Linked DNA regions of Lytechinus pictus. Each later gene encodes a partner of the first gene's protein in a complex. Links are inferred from orthologs where the notes say so. Each region holds a gene or a part of one and is shown on either strand. Other genes may lie near its edges.

Region 1 (7,875 bases):
ATATTTTTATTCAAATTTAGTATACAGATTTGGCATTGTTCAAAGCATAGAACCCCTTTAACATGTTTCCTTACTATTTAAGTCTAGTAGGGACAATAAGATAATTAATTTACATTATTATAGAGTTGGCAATGTTCAAAGCACAGAACACACTTCCTTACTTTTGAAGTCTAATCTGAGCTGTGTTACATCTGTAAAGTCTATTCCTTCAGCCTTGGCTATTCTTCCTGCTTCTTCTTTAGGACCTTGCTCCTCTACAGCTTTCTGAAGCATTATCTCATCCACTACGGATGGTTCCACTGTGTCATACAGCCGGCTCATATTGACGATTCACTTTCTCACAATCAACACCAGAAAATTAATCAACCTAACAGGGTCACAGAGATCTGCAAATAGAAGGCAAAAAAAATTCAATTACTGTGCAAAATGAATAGATGTGCAGACAAAGTCATATGATTATTCAAAAACCAATTCATAAATTACTATGAAATTTGGTAGATGTCTCTTTTGCACACTTTTCATCAAGATCTGAAAAAAATCACAGTTTTATGAAGTTAATTAATTTGGCATGCCATAGTCCATGATCATCTATGGACAAGTTTTATTTTTTGCACTATATCACTAGCTTCTTCTTGACCAGAATATAAGAAAAAATATAATATGAAATAAAGCTTTTTGTGTAATTTTAAGGAAAGACAGGTTTAATCTTCAATCCGCTTTACAGTCAATATTTAGGTGCGCAGACATGCGTCACCAGGGGCAGATTTAGCCTTTGCCAATAGGGGGGGGGGGCCTGAAATTTGTTTTCACCCATATTTTTCCCGATCACCCGCTCAAAATTGATTTTTGTTTGGTTCTTTGAAGGGGTAGTCACTTCTTATCTATATAAAACAACATAAATATATAATAATCTCATAAGCTCTATTTAAATAGTGCGAGCGCGAAGCGCGGGCTATTTTTTTGGGTAAATTACATGTATTTTGTCGTGAAAATTGAATATTCTTGGTAATGTATGTGATCCTGAACAAGATGCGTATGAAACTACATAATTACTGCTAGCGCGAAGCGCGAGCAGAAATTTTTCGTACAGTATACTTTCTGGTCTGATCAAAAAGGGACCTGTTAAGGAATGTTTGCAGTCAGCCATAAATACGATACATATTTCAACAATCAAATAATGCGAGCACGAAGAGCGAGTTGAAAATTTTTGACATCCTGACCTGAACAAATGGACATTCTAAGCACTTTTTGCAATCATGAATAGGATATGTATATAACTAAACAATGCGAGCGCGAAGCGCGAGCGGAAAAAAAAAGAGAGTTAGACCCAAAAGCGGGACACTCTTTATGTTTTGTAAATCATGATAAGGATGGGTAATTTGGGTATTTCCTACATTAATAATGCAAGCGTGAAGCGCTAGTAGAAATTCTTTGGTATTCTGATCTGACACTGGGTAATTTAAGCATGTTTTAAATAAAGAACAAGTCGCGAGTCTCAATAAACATGCGTGCGCAAGTGTTAGACTTAGAATCTTGGCATCCTAAATACATTTTTTATCATGAAAATCAATCATGCGAGCGCGAAGCGCGAGCTGAACATATTTGGTATTCCAATCTGAAAAGTTGTCAATTAAACTCTAATTCAAGCACTGAGTAGGAAAATTGAGAAGTGGATATGCATCGCACTTAATAAATGGTGCGAACGCAAAGCGCGAGCTAAAATTTTTATTAAACTTATTATTATTTTGACCTAGGACTGGGACGTTCTAAGGACATTTTGTCATCATATGGAAAATGATGACTGTCTACCAATTCCTCTTCCTAAGTGCATAATAATGCTTGCTGATATTCCCTTCTGAAAAAAGGGATAATTTAATTATAAGGAAGTCATGAAAATGTTTCTATCTTATTTTTTGATGTAATAAACCTAATGAAATTTGTTGAAATTAAGGCCTGAAAACTGGACTTTTACGCACTTTGTAATTATGAATAGGACGCATGGGCTAATATATATTTTTAATAATTAATGCGATCGCAAATCGCGAGCTAAACTATTTGATAAACTGTCATGAAAAGGGAATTTTAAATAGTTTGTTATTAACACTATAGAGGTACCGGTTACATTACTCACCAATCAAAATGCGACTGAGCAGCGCTAGCTAATAGGTCTTGACAATCAGACCTGTAAAGGAGATATTTTGAGAACTTTATGGAATACACAAAGAGAATAGGTACTTGACGACTGAAATACGAGTGCGAGCTGTAAGTGTTGATACTTAGACAAGAAAACAGACATTACAGAGCACTTTTTGAAAATCAACTTGTAGATCTAACTATAGGCCTAGGCCTAAACTAAATCCAAACAAAATGTGATTATGAGGAAAGCTCGATGTCCGAGCTGAAAAGTGAAATAAGTTTTGCATATTATTATTGACTTCAAAGCTTGATTTTTTAAGCTCCATATTAGCCTATTAATTGAGCAGATATGTACTCCATCGAATATGCAATGTGAGGGCGAGCAAAATTTTTTTTAGACCGTTTGACTTTGAATTTCAGTGACATCGTCATCAATTTTTTTTTTAATTCCTTCCCCTTACCTTAATCACTCATCACCTTCCTGCTTTTTTTTCCCCCTCTTCTTTTCTTTTCTCCTCTCTTCTCCTTTTTTTTTCTCCCTTTCCCCTTTTTTAGCTCCGCCAATTGATTCAATTATTCATCTTGTTCTAGAAAGAATATGGCCGTGGGCCTTACATTTACAAAAATTTCTGCACGTGGGACCGAACTAAAATCTTAATATTTCCATCTATTGATCAACTGAAAATAACCTCAACCGTGATAGACTTTCAGGAATCCAACATATTTCACCGTTCGATAATACTGAGTATTATTACAAAATTGATTCAATATAACTCAAATGTCATAACTTACAGAATTAATAATGCCTAAATCCGACCGGACGGACTGCTTGATGTGGCGTCAATTGTTGTCATGGAGCGATTAAAATGAGCGACCAATAAGTGCGATCGGAATTATGAGCACGCTCGTAGTCGTATGTAAAAACGCGGTCAGATAGCGACTAATACTGTACTATCGAAATGTTTTTTTTGGGGGGGGGGGGGGGCTTGCCTTTTTAGAACTTGAGACTATCATAGTTATCAATGATTTTTATTACGTATTTCATTCATTAAGTCGTTTTTTTGTTTGTTTTCTTAATACAAAATTAATATGATATACATGTATTTTAATATTACAGGGGGCATACACAGTACAAGCAGCTCGATCTGCTTTTTAGTTAACCCCCTCTCCCTATATCAATTCTTCTGATTTCGTTTTGAATATTATTCATTTTACTGTGTTGATCTTTTTACTTGTAATATGATTATATTATGTCATATTAACAGTAGGCTTATCATCATTAAAATATGACTTTTTTACTTTCCACTTTAAGTTGACTTGAGGTATCAAAAATGGACTGGATACTGGATGTAGGCATATTTTCAATTTTCAATTTTTTGACAAGAAAACAAACAGACAATTCCCCCCCCCCCCAAAAAAAAAAACCCCAGAAACAGTCATTTAGTTGTGGACAAGGGGAAGTCTCACAAGGCCCCATTAGCCACCCCTGGCATGAAGTACGAATAGCATCAGGGGCCGCGGAACGGTTTTCAAAGTGGGGGGGGGGGCTGCATGACCATGCAAAAAATCACAATCATGTGGTCATTTTTACGATTTTGTACACGGTTTTGGAAAAAGTGGGGGCTGAAGCCCCCCAGCCCCCCCCCCCCCGCTTCGCGAACCCTGAGCATGAAGAGAAATACCACCCCCCCCCCAAAAAAAAAAAAATATATATATATATATATATAAAATGTAAAAATAAAAATAGACGATGAAACATTTCTTTTTATTTCAGTCTGCCTAAAAAAAATGCATTCAGAATACCCAGTAAATCGGAAACACACGCGCGCATGTTTATTCAGATAGACAGCTTGTTCTCTTTTTAAATCATTATCCAGTTTAAGATCAGAATATCAAAAATTTTTGGCTCGCGCTTTGCGCTCGCATTATGAATGTTGGAAGATCCCCAATTACTTATCATTTTAATGGTTTACAAAGCATGAATAGAGTGTCCCGTTTTTAGGTCTAAATCTCGAATTTTTCCGCATCAATTCTTTGGTTATGTAAAACCTACCTATCCTGTTCACGATTACAAAAAGTGCTTGGAATTTTGGTAGAAATGTCAAAAATTTTCAGCTCGTGCTTTGTGCTCGCATTATTTGATTGTTGAAATTATGTAACGTCTTCATGTTTAATTAACTGCAAGCATGATGTCACTTTTCGATCAGATCAAAACGTATATTTAAAGTTTTTGCTCGCGCTTCGCGCTCGCAGTAATTATTCAGTTGCATACACATCTGTTCAGAATCTTAGGACAGAATAGGGTGCTACATGAAATTTTAAAAGAAATTAGCTCGCGCTCCGATCACGCTCGCACTATCTAAACAAGGAATATGACAGTATAATATATTTATGTTGATTTATAAGAATAAAGCTAAGAAGTGGCTATAAGGCACAAATATAATCAACTACGATCGAGCGGCCGATCGGGGAAAATATGGCTGAAAAATTTTTCGAGACGGCACGGTGGGACGAGACGATTCTCTCCCATAAGCTAACAAACCATTGTAAAGAGCCAAAAAAAAAAGATCTAAATAAATAATTTTTAAAAAGGCAACACAGAAATCCCCAAATTTCAGTCGATAGGAATTACAGTCGAATAGACGTAGGCCCTATTTCACAGACGGCTCGCATTAACAAATACGTTTCATAGGCGGATCCAGGCCCCCCCCCCCTATTGGCGGAGCAAAAAAAAGGGGAAAAAGGGAAAGAAAGAAGAAGAAGGGGAAAGAAAGGAGAACAAAAGAAGAGGAAAAATAAGAGGAGGGAGACGAGTGAATAAAATAAGGTCAGGGAAAGACTTGGAATATAATTTGAAAATATATATTTCATGTGACTTTATAAGATTTTCGCTCGCGCTTCGCGCTCGCATAGCCCGTGTTCGATGTGATACATATCTTGCTCAATAGGCTGATGTGTAGCTAAAATATCAAGTTTTTTTAAGTCAATACATTTTTTCAGCTCGGACATCGAGCTTTTATTATTATTTTTTATTTAAAAATTGATTTTTTTTTAAGTGCTCTGTGAAATGCCTGTTTTATGGTGTAATTTTCATTTGCAGCTTTTTGCGCTGTGCGCTCGCATTATTTGCTTTGCCAAGTAGGCCTACATATTGTCTTTGTGTATTCCATAAGATCCTTTATAAATATATCAATTCTATAACAAACTACTCAAAATCCCCCTTTTACGACAGTTTAAAAAAAATAGTCTCGCGCTTTGCGCTCGCATTAGTAGTTAAAAATATATCAACTCATAAATCCTATTCATGCTTACAAAAGTGCTTGAAATATTCAGTCTTCTGGCCTCTAATATCAACAAATTTTTACTCACTAATTAGGCTTATTATATTAATAAATATGATAATAAAATTTTAATGAATTCCTAATAACTAAATTGTCCCTTGTTTCAGAAAGGAATTTCGACAAGTTTCATATCGCGCTTAGGAAGAGGAATATGAAGATAGTCATCATTTTCATATGATGACAAAATGTCCTTAGGCTTAGAATGTCCAGGTCCTAGGTCAGAATAATAATAAAAATATCAGCTATAGCGCTCCGCACTCGCATCATTTATTAAGTGTTATCCACATATACTTCACAATTTCCCTGCACAGTGCTTTAGATAGTATTTAAATTCACCCTTTTTATATCGGAATATCAAATATTTTCCACTCGCGCTTCGCGATCACATTATCAATTTTCATGATAAAAATTAAATGTATTCAGAATGCTCAGATTCTGTCTAACTCTAAAACAGGCGCACACATGTTTATTGAGATATGCAGCTTGATCTTTATTCAAAACGTGCTAAAATTATCCAGTTTGCGCTCGCATTATTAATGTAAGAACTTCTTTTTTCATGATTTAGAAAAAATGAATAGAGTGTCCCATTTTTAGGTCTGAAATATCTTTTTTTCGCTCGCGCTTTGCGCTCGCATCAATTGTTTAGTTTTTTTTCACCAATGCCGTTTATTTTAAAAAGAGCTTAGAATGTCAATTTTATAGCTCGCAATGTCAAAACATTTTCAGCTCGCGCTTCGCTCTCGCATTATCTAAATGTTGAAATATGTATCGTCTTAATGGCTAACTGCAAATCGGTCTTAACAGGTCCTTTTTCGATCAAGCCAGAACCAATTTTGAAAATTTCTGCTCGGGCTTCGCTATCGCAGTAATTATCTAGTTACATACGCATCTTGTTCAGGTTCACAAACATTGCCCAGAATATTCAATTTTCAGGACAAAATACATGAAATTTCAGCTCGCGCTTTGCGCTTGTATTATTCAAATAGGGCTGAAGAGATTATTACATTTTTATGTTGTTTTATAAAAATAAAGCTAAGAAATGACTGTTAGGATATCGGCGTTTTGCCCCCCCCCCCAATTGTTCACGACCAAGAAAAATGGGGAGAAAAGAAAAGGGATAAGTGATATATATGCCTATATTTGTCAAATGTTATGTCAAAAATCTATCACAAACTTTGATTTTTGTAATCAAAATGTCAAAATTTTTGCTCGCTCGCTCGCAACTTCTCATTAATTTTACACAATATGCCGTATCAAGCCCCTCAAAACTGGCTCATTACGCCACCGAGACAACCCCTTCAAAGAAACAAACAAAAATCAACATTGAGCGGCCGATCGGGGAAAATATGGGTGAAAAAAATTTCGGCCCCCCCCCCCCTATTGGCGGGAGCTGGATCAGCCCCTGAGTTTAGCCTTTAAATTGAAGGCAGTATCCTTAAAAGATATTAGGCCACCGCCATGAAACGAAAATGAGTAGTTAATGACTAGATCTGATCAAATTCATCTTCAAAATGGGAGGTCCTTTTTTTCCTCCTCTTTTTAAAATATTTTTTGTATTTTTAGTACCCTATTTAGCGTTATGTTATTATATCAACGTTTTCTAACGTTTCGGAATTGTGGAAATGAAATGAAACTTGCGATCCGTTGCTCCCCCCAAGTGTTGGGCGCTGCCCACTGATCTGTATAGGCCTACTATTCAGATATCAGTGGTGCTCAGTGCTTCCACTTTTCAAAACGGAACTTCCTGGAATTTACTCGAAAAGTACCGTACTTGCAATTTTACAAAATATCCTGCAATTTTTCGAATGTTCTCCAGTCTTTAATAAGTCATAATTCTCTTCTATAAACACACAAAAACAAATGAAATACCATTGAATATAGGGCCCAGTGCCGCGTAAGTGAGCCAAATATTTAGAGGGGGGGCGAAACATGACGTAACAGGCTAAGTTTATAAAGAGTTGCGAGCGAGCAAAATTTTTGACATTTTAATTAAAAAGATCCAATTTTGTGATAGATTTTGACATAATATTCAGAAAATAATATTATTCCCGAAAATGATAACTTCCTGGAATTTCTCACATCCTGGAATGATCCTGGAAAATAACAAAACTTCCTCGAATTTCCTGAATTCCAGGAAGAGTCAAGAGTGGAAGCACTGGTGGTGCTGCCTGCTGGAGTTTGAGTACCAGAAGCAATTAATGCTTTGCGCTTACGTCTGAATTACGACTAGTCCCAACAGGCCAAAACATTGCGAAATGTGTCATCACCACTCCCTCGGTCCCTGGATCTCTAGAATATTCTTCAGTCTAACTCTAACACGTCTGTCTAGTGTCTATCTGATGCAATATTTTGCCAGAGTGGTAATGAGCATAATCTAGTTTGGATTATAAACAGTACC
Region 2 (6,905 bases), on another chromosome or scaffold:
CTATTTCTTTTGTAGAAATCGTTGTATTGCCCTCAATATTACAATTTCTGAATGTGCACATTATTGATGCAACCAGCCCTTGCACTGAGCCCTTTATTGTGAGGGTAAAGTACGTTTTTCATGGCACATGGAAACAGTCATGGAATTCAATTATTTTTTAAGTGTGCCTTGGCAATTTCAGAAGGGCACCACAGCATTGAGAGGTACACTTTACATACTGTACTCAATATAAGAAAAAAAAGTAATTTAAACAGAAGCAATAAAGGAATATTCATATTATAACAGTAGGAAATTAATTAGTGGTCTGTATTATGAGAGATCCCCTCTTATGTTTGTATGAGTTTTTTTCTTTGTCTTTCATTTTCATATTTTCCCGATAATCTCCATAAGCCCTTGTTCAATTTCTTTTGTCAAGGCCCTGTTAAACTTATTTTGGATCAGCAAGAATCAAGCAGAATCAGCTAGAATAAAAAAAATATAAACAAGTGGAACGCCTCTGGCAGTCTCGCCTGCATTACGTAATTCGAAATAGCAGCAGTGCTTCCTTTGAAAAAAAGATATTATGTCCATTGACCAAAAATGACCTTTGACCATGATCATGTGTCCTAAGGATTGTGCAAAACTATCATTCATACTTGATTACCCTTATGTCGATGTTTCATGAGCAAGTACCATAAACTCGTAAGTTATGATGCCATTTCAACACATACTCCCAACACGGCCAGAGTTCATTGACCTTTATGACCTTGGACCTTGGCCATGTTCCTGAAACACACACAGGGTATTCAGGGATACACTGCTGCTCTTATGTCCAGGTTTCATGAACTAAATCCATAGACAATTCCACAAATACCCCCAACATTACCAAAGTTTGTTGACCCTAAATGATTTCATGAGGCACACCCCCATCAAAAAATAATTTGAGTGCCCCCCCCCCCCCCCCCCGGGACCCACTCCTTGCCCTTTCTTGTAAAGCGCATGACCCATGCGCAATTCGCGTTCGCCATTTTGGATTCGGCGATGAATTAATACAAATTTGGTACTGCGAACTGGCTTCAAATCACCGCTGTGTAGATGAATGCAATAGAATCCCTGGCTTCGTGGAGAGTAAGCATACGTTAGTAAATGATTTTTACTCTCTAGAAGCCTCCTGGCTAACCAGACCGATCTCGTGTAGATCCCTCAATCCATTTGTAAAAAATGCAAATACAATAGGCTTGACCCTTGAACCACTTCATTATGACGTACCTTCGACAAGCGATGTTACAAAATGCCGTTTGAAGAACAATTTATAGATAAAAATTATTATTTAACAAATAATGAAATTTGAAACTTATTTATAAATAATTATTATGATTATCTATACTCACGTATTAAATTTTATTATTTGTTAAATAATCATTTTTATCTATAAATTGTTCTTCAAAATGGCATTTTGTAGCCTCAAGGCTAGTGCGCAGCCACTCACATGTATTGCGAGGTTAGTATACTAATACTAATGCACCTATCAATTGTAAGATGCACCCCCGACCCCCGGGAATGGTGTGTCATGGTAGGGTCATTTACCAACAAATTAGTGAAGCAGGGTACTGTCATAGAAACATTTGGTCCGTCACAGTTTGAGGATTGGGGTGCGTTAATGTCAGTCATGTTACCTGGGTGCGTCATGATGCCTCAGTGATACAAAAATTATTAAATTAATATATATTTTATATATCTTTCATTATGAACTCCCGTTCTCCCAGAAGAAATATAATTGACAAATTATTCCGACAACGTCGGAAAGGAAAATAAAACAGAATTGAAGTTGGTAACATCTCAGATTAGTTGGCGATCTATCGGGACATGTTTTTTAATTATTTTGAGGTGCTAACGAGTTAAAATATATTTCATATATATACCTTTCATTACGACCACTTTCTCTCCATTAAGAAATATTAAAGACGCATTTTCTCTTCAATGTTGGAAATGTAAATAAAACAAAACAGAAGTTGGAAACATCTTAGATTAGTTGGCAATCTATCAGGACATGTTTTAAAATTGTTTTGAATGGCTAACGAGTTAAATTATATTTTATATATCTTTCGTTATGAACTCCCGTTCTCCCAGAAGAAATATAATTGACGAATTATTCCAACAACCTCGGAAAGGAAAATAAAACAGAATTGAAGTTGGTAACATTTTAGATTAGTTGGCGCTCTAAGGACATGTTTTAAAATTGTTTTGAGGAATTAAAGAGTTAAAACATATTTCATATACCTTTCTTTATGACCGCTTTTTCTCTGTTAAGAAAAATATTAGACGCATTTTCTCGAAAATGTTGGAAACTTAAATAAAACAAAATAGAAGTTGGAAATATCTTAGATTAGTTGGCAATTGATCAGGACTTGTTTTAAAATTGTTTTGAACGGCTAACAAGTTAAGACATTTTATATAAGTTTCGTTATGAACTCCCGTTCTCCCAGAAGAAATATAATTGACGAATTATTCCAACAACCTCGGAGAGGAAAATAAAACAGAATTGAAGTTGGTAACATCTCAGATTAGTTGGCGATCTATCAGGAAATGTTTTTAAATTGTTTTGAACGTGTAACGAGTTACACTGTCAAAAACGAAGTGCTAATTTAGCACTTACAGTGCTTGTATAGTGACTGCACTATGAGCATGAGTGCTGATTTTCTCGTTCAAATTTAAACTAGAAAATCAGCACTCGTAGTGCAGTCACTATACAAGCACTTTAAGTGCTAAATTAGCACTTCGTTTTTGACAGTGTAAGATTTATTTTATATATCTTTCGTTATGAACTCCCGTTCTCCCAGAAGAAATATAATTGACGAATTATTCCAACAACGTCGGAAAGGAAAATAAAACAGAATAGAAGTCACAAACATCTCAGATTAATGAACGAATGATTGGGATATGTTTTAAAATTGCTTTGAGGTGCTAACGAGTTAAAATCTATATTATGAACTTTTTCGCATGAACCCTGGCCTTGATTTCCGAGAAGAAATGTAAATGGCGCATATTCCCGACATCGTCGGAAAGGAAAGCGTTCCCTTTGAGTTCGCCTCGGCCTCTGCTATCACCACGAGGTTGTATTGAAGAGAAAACATTGTCAGAGACTATAGCGAAATACATGTATCGCGTTCCATTGCATTTAGCTCGATTGTGCCCACGCAGCACTTGCACGCACGAGACATCACACTTCAGAGTCTAGTCTGAATCTGACTTTTTACTCTGACGAAGGTGCGTCAGGGAGACGGTCATGGTTGGTCAAAATCTTGAACTGGTGCGTCACTTTTTTCTTTCTTGGCAGGGTCATTGTAAGTAAAGGTGCGTCATTGTTAAGACACACATGTGCGTCACGCACCACACCACGTACCATAAAATCTGACTCACGTTTGACAAGTGACGCACCCTTCCCGGGGGTCGGGGGGTGCGTCATACAATTGATAGGTGCATAAATACTGGTGCGCAGCGGCAATTTTCCAGAGAGTAGGCAGTACAAAAAAGACTAAAAAACTTCTCTCACTCAGCTCAACTCAGTCTCTGCTAGCTGCTTACCGGTTTTACAATACACTGGACTAGAGTCTAAACTCTATTCTTCATGTTTCACTGGCTATTCCATATCCAAAATGAAAAAAAAAACGTTTTAAAATTTCTCCAGACAAATTGTTTTGCTGTCTAACTCTAACAAACACAGGGGCCGATTGCACGAAAGGGTCTTTCCAAGGACCGTCTTTCGTGTCGCCCATCTTTTATGATACGCCATGTGAAACGCATTTCAAATAAATTATCTGCAAATATATTTTATTTTTCCGTTAAAATAAACAAAATATTTGTTTATAAAATGATGTGATATTTCATGAAATTGTATAAAATTTGATTTAAAAGCAAGCTTACGAATTTTATTTGTTTATCATAAATTTCAGAAACACCCCGCTTATAGCGCATCATAAAAGATGGGCGACACGAAAGACGGTCCTTGGAAAGACCCTTTCGTGCAATCGGCCCCTGGGTAATTCGTAACGGCTAACGCGCGCAGGGCCGAGTCGCAGCTACAGACAGACAGTGTCAGTGACAAGGGGATTGTCAATGCAGTGCAGTGCATTAACACAAGCAGACGCCGAAGAGTTGAATTTGAGTCAATTAAAACGCAATTAAACCTATATCACGACTGTCACATTGACTTCAAATACTACATGTATCTACAGGAAGTATTTCTCACCACTCCTAACTGTTCTAAAGCTCTGACTTGGCTGTTGTTCAGCCAATAAAGGACTCTCAAGTTCTACTGAGACACGATTTAGGTCGTCCTCCAATTCCGCCATGTTTACATCCGTCAGCTGTTATTCTCGCTTTTCGAGGTGAGATTTGGCGAGATTTCGCTACACCAGTTGACCCCTTTCGACCTTTTCTCGGAAGTCACCAAGCAACGAAACCGTATTACACAAATACGAGCAAGCGGATGGATAATATTTCATGTTAAAAACTTACCATTTTGTTAAGCTTTACTATTTTTCATTACCATTTGTAATGTAAAGTCATCGAATTTTCGCAGATTTGAAAATACTCAAAATCGGAACAGATTTACACGGCAATTATGTGAGGCTTCATTTTCCCTTCGCGGAGGAATATTTACAAACAAGATTTGTGGTGCGGTTACTCTATTTACGTGTGTTGTCTATGAGATCGAGAGTGCTGGAGGTTCAGGAGGAAAGAACAAGTGTTTGTGGAAACAAATGTGGAATTCTGCATAAACTTTTGAGAGTTCAAATTAATTACCTTACCTAAAATTCAATCTGTGTAGTTTTTATCCGAGAGGTGGAAATACGTAACGAGCTGCAAGATGTCTTTCGCCGACATGGCTGTGATGGAGACGTTTCGTCTGCTCGACAAGGTTCGAGCTGAGGGTCCAAAAGAACGTCCAGAAAGACCTAACATAGATTTTCCACAGGTCAAACCACACAAACCGAATAAGCCAAAGGAATCAAAGAACCAAAGAACCGATCCTCTACGTATCCTAGACCCTGGAAGGAAGAAACTTACAACAGTTGAATCACAAAGAATTTTGGCAGTATTGGACGAGAGCATCAAGAATGCTGAGGTTGTAAGCTTGCTACCTTACGCTTGTGAAAATGTCAATCGTTTCAGCGTTGTTCTTGGTATCGAGACAGTTGTTACTATACAGGAGCATGAAAAGATCCAGAGTGCATTTAAAGATGCTGCAAAAAAACTTAGCGATTACAAAAATATGGACAAAGTCGAGTCTCGAAAATCTACCCCAGCAGCACGCGCAGCTGAGTCTGAGATACAACCCACCAATGATGATGAAGATAATTATGATGAAGTTCAGATGATTGAGAGCAGGAGGCAAACTCCATCCGATAGATTAGACAAAGTTGACTCAATTTCACTTATTGATGAGGAAGAAGTGCAGCTTTCAAAAATGGTGAATGTTCAAGCGCAGCAGTTGAAGTTTTCATGTAGAAATATCCTGCGGTTGCTGAGCTTGAACCCAGCAGCAGTCAATGCCCTGAGGTCTGAGATCAAAGAGCGAGGCCCAGAGTCTAGTTCTATGATTGGATACATGAAGGATCTGAGATCATTTATTCTGGAAAGACTGCTTACCACGCCCTTGGAAGAGAAAGAGAAAACAGATTATCTCAGGGAGATCACAATCAGGGAGCATAAGAATTCTGATGTCATCAAGAAACTTTCTGCTGAGCTACAGGAGGCAATTGAAGATAAAGACATGAAGGTATAAAGGGGAGATTCGAAACTTCTTTTCTTCTTTCTCTAATTGACATTCCCTCTACCTACTTGTATCCTATTCTTTCTCTTTCTAGCCCCCTTCCCTCTTCCATTATTTGCTATTGAGTAGATCTAGCCTACTAGTATTGAATTATGCCTGTCTGAAGGGCTTTTAAAACTTTGTTTTTTGGGGGAGGGTCTTTTTGGATTCTCCAATGGAGGAGGTGTAATAAAAGCAAGATCCCGGTACAGTGCATGTAGTCTAGTGGAACAGCAGACGAAACCATGACTGAAGCTTTTGGTCTGCTACTAGACTGCTAATTATTCCTTTTCTTTTTCACTTTGTTTATATATTATCATCACTTTTTTCTTTAAAAATAATTGCAGAAACTGTCTTAAATTGGTCAAATTATTTTGAGATTTGGATACCTTTCACACAACATTAGATATTTTTTTGACTGCTGACTTGAAACATGATCAATGCTTTCAAAAAAAGTAATTGCCTTGTCCTTGTCTATTGTTTTTTTTTTGTGTGTGTGTGTGGCATGCAGAGCTAAACACTGGCAGTATATTGCCCATACAAAACAAATCATAATTTTCAATTTTATTGTCAAAAAAGGAAAATCACTAGATTAAATATTCTTTATTGTTCTACTTTTTTTTTTTTTTTTTTTTTTACGTTCTACAGATCTCCAAACAAAATGATGAAATTCGTCGACTAAAGGGCGACCTCCACCAGTTAGAGAAATTCTCTGAGGAGCACATCAGGAGAACTAAATCAGAAGCTGACAAACAGCAACAGGCAGACTTCAAGAACTCTGAAGTCAAACAGACCAAGTTACACTCTGATCTTCAGGGTCTACGTACCCAGCTGACCAATCAGACATCAGAGCACAGAGAGAGCGAGTTAGCTTTGAGAAAAGTGAGGACGATTTTCATCTATTTGTAGATTTTGGGATATAAAGCAGTGGGAAAAATCAGTTAATTCAAAATACATGTAGCCCATCTGATATTTTCCTTTTTTTTCTATTTATTTCATCCAAGAATAAAATGTATTTTGTTGAAGACATTTGGTACTCAAAAATTTCTCTTTCTTAAAAAAATTCTACATGTTATATTAGTCTTTTTCAAACAGAATATGTATTATACCA

The links. The genes of interacting proteins can lie anywhere in the genome.
Region 2: dynein regulatory complex subunit 3-like (region 1) and dynein regulatory complex protein 10-like share a complex: the UniProt entries of both Homo sapiens proteins name them as parts of the nexin-dynein regulatory complex. The link is inferred for Lytechinus pictus from reciprocal best matches to the Homo sapiens genes DRC3 and DRC10.

What each region holds. Positions count from the first base shown.
Region 1 is NC_087254.1:18,110,680-18,118,554, reverse strand, and holds the start of dynein regulatory complex subunit 3-like, read right to left. Parts: upstream 3,019-7,875; 5' UTR 2,929-3,018; intron 2,183-2,928; exon of another isoform or gene 2,132-2,182; intron 387-2,131; 5' UTR 322-386; coding exon 162-321; intron 1-161. UniProt on the Homo sapiens protein: Component of the nexin-dynein regulatory complex (N-DRC) a key regulator of ciliary/flagellar motility which maintains the alignment and integrity of the distal axoneme and regulates microtubule sliding in motile axonemes.
Region 2 is NC_087246.1:4,179,016-4,185,920, forward strand, and holds the start of dynein regulatory complex protein 10-like, read left to right. Parts: upstream 1-3,895; 5' UTR 3,896-4,228; coding exon of another isoform or gene 4,229-4,331; 5' UTR 4,332-4,849; coding exon 4,850-5,761; intron 5,762-6,442; coding exon 6,443-6,676; intron 6,677-6,905. Other genes in the region: two pore channel protein 1-like, read right to left, coding at 4,229-4,331. UniProt on the Homo sapiens protein: Component of the nexin-dynein regulatory complex (N-DRC), a key regulator of ciliary/flagellar motility which maintains the alignment and integrity of the distal axoneme and regulates microtubule sliding in motile axonemes.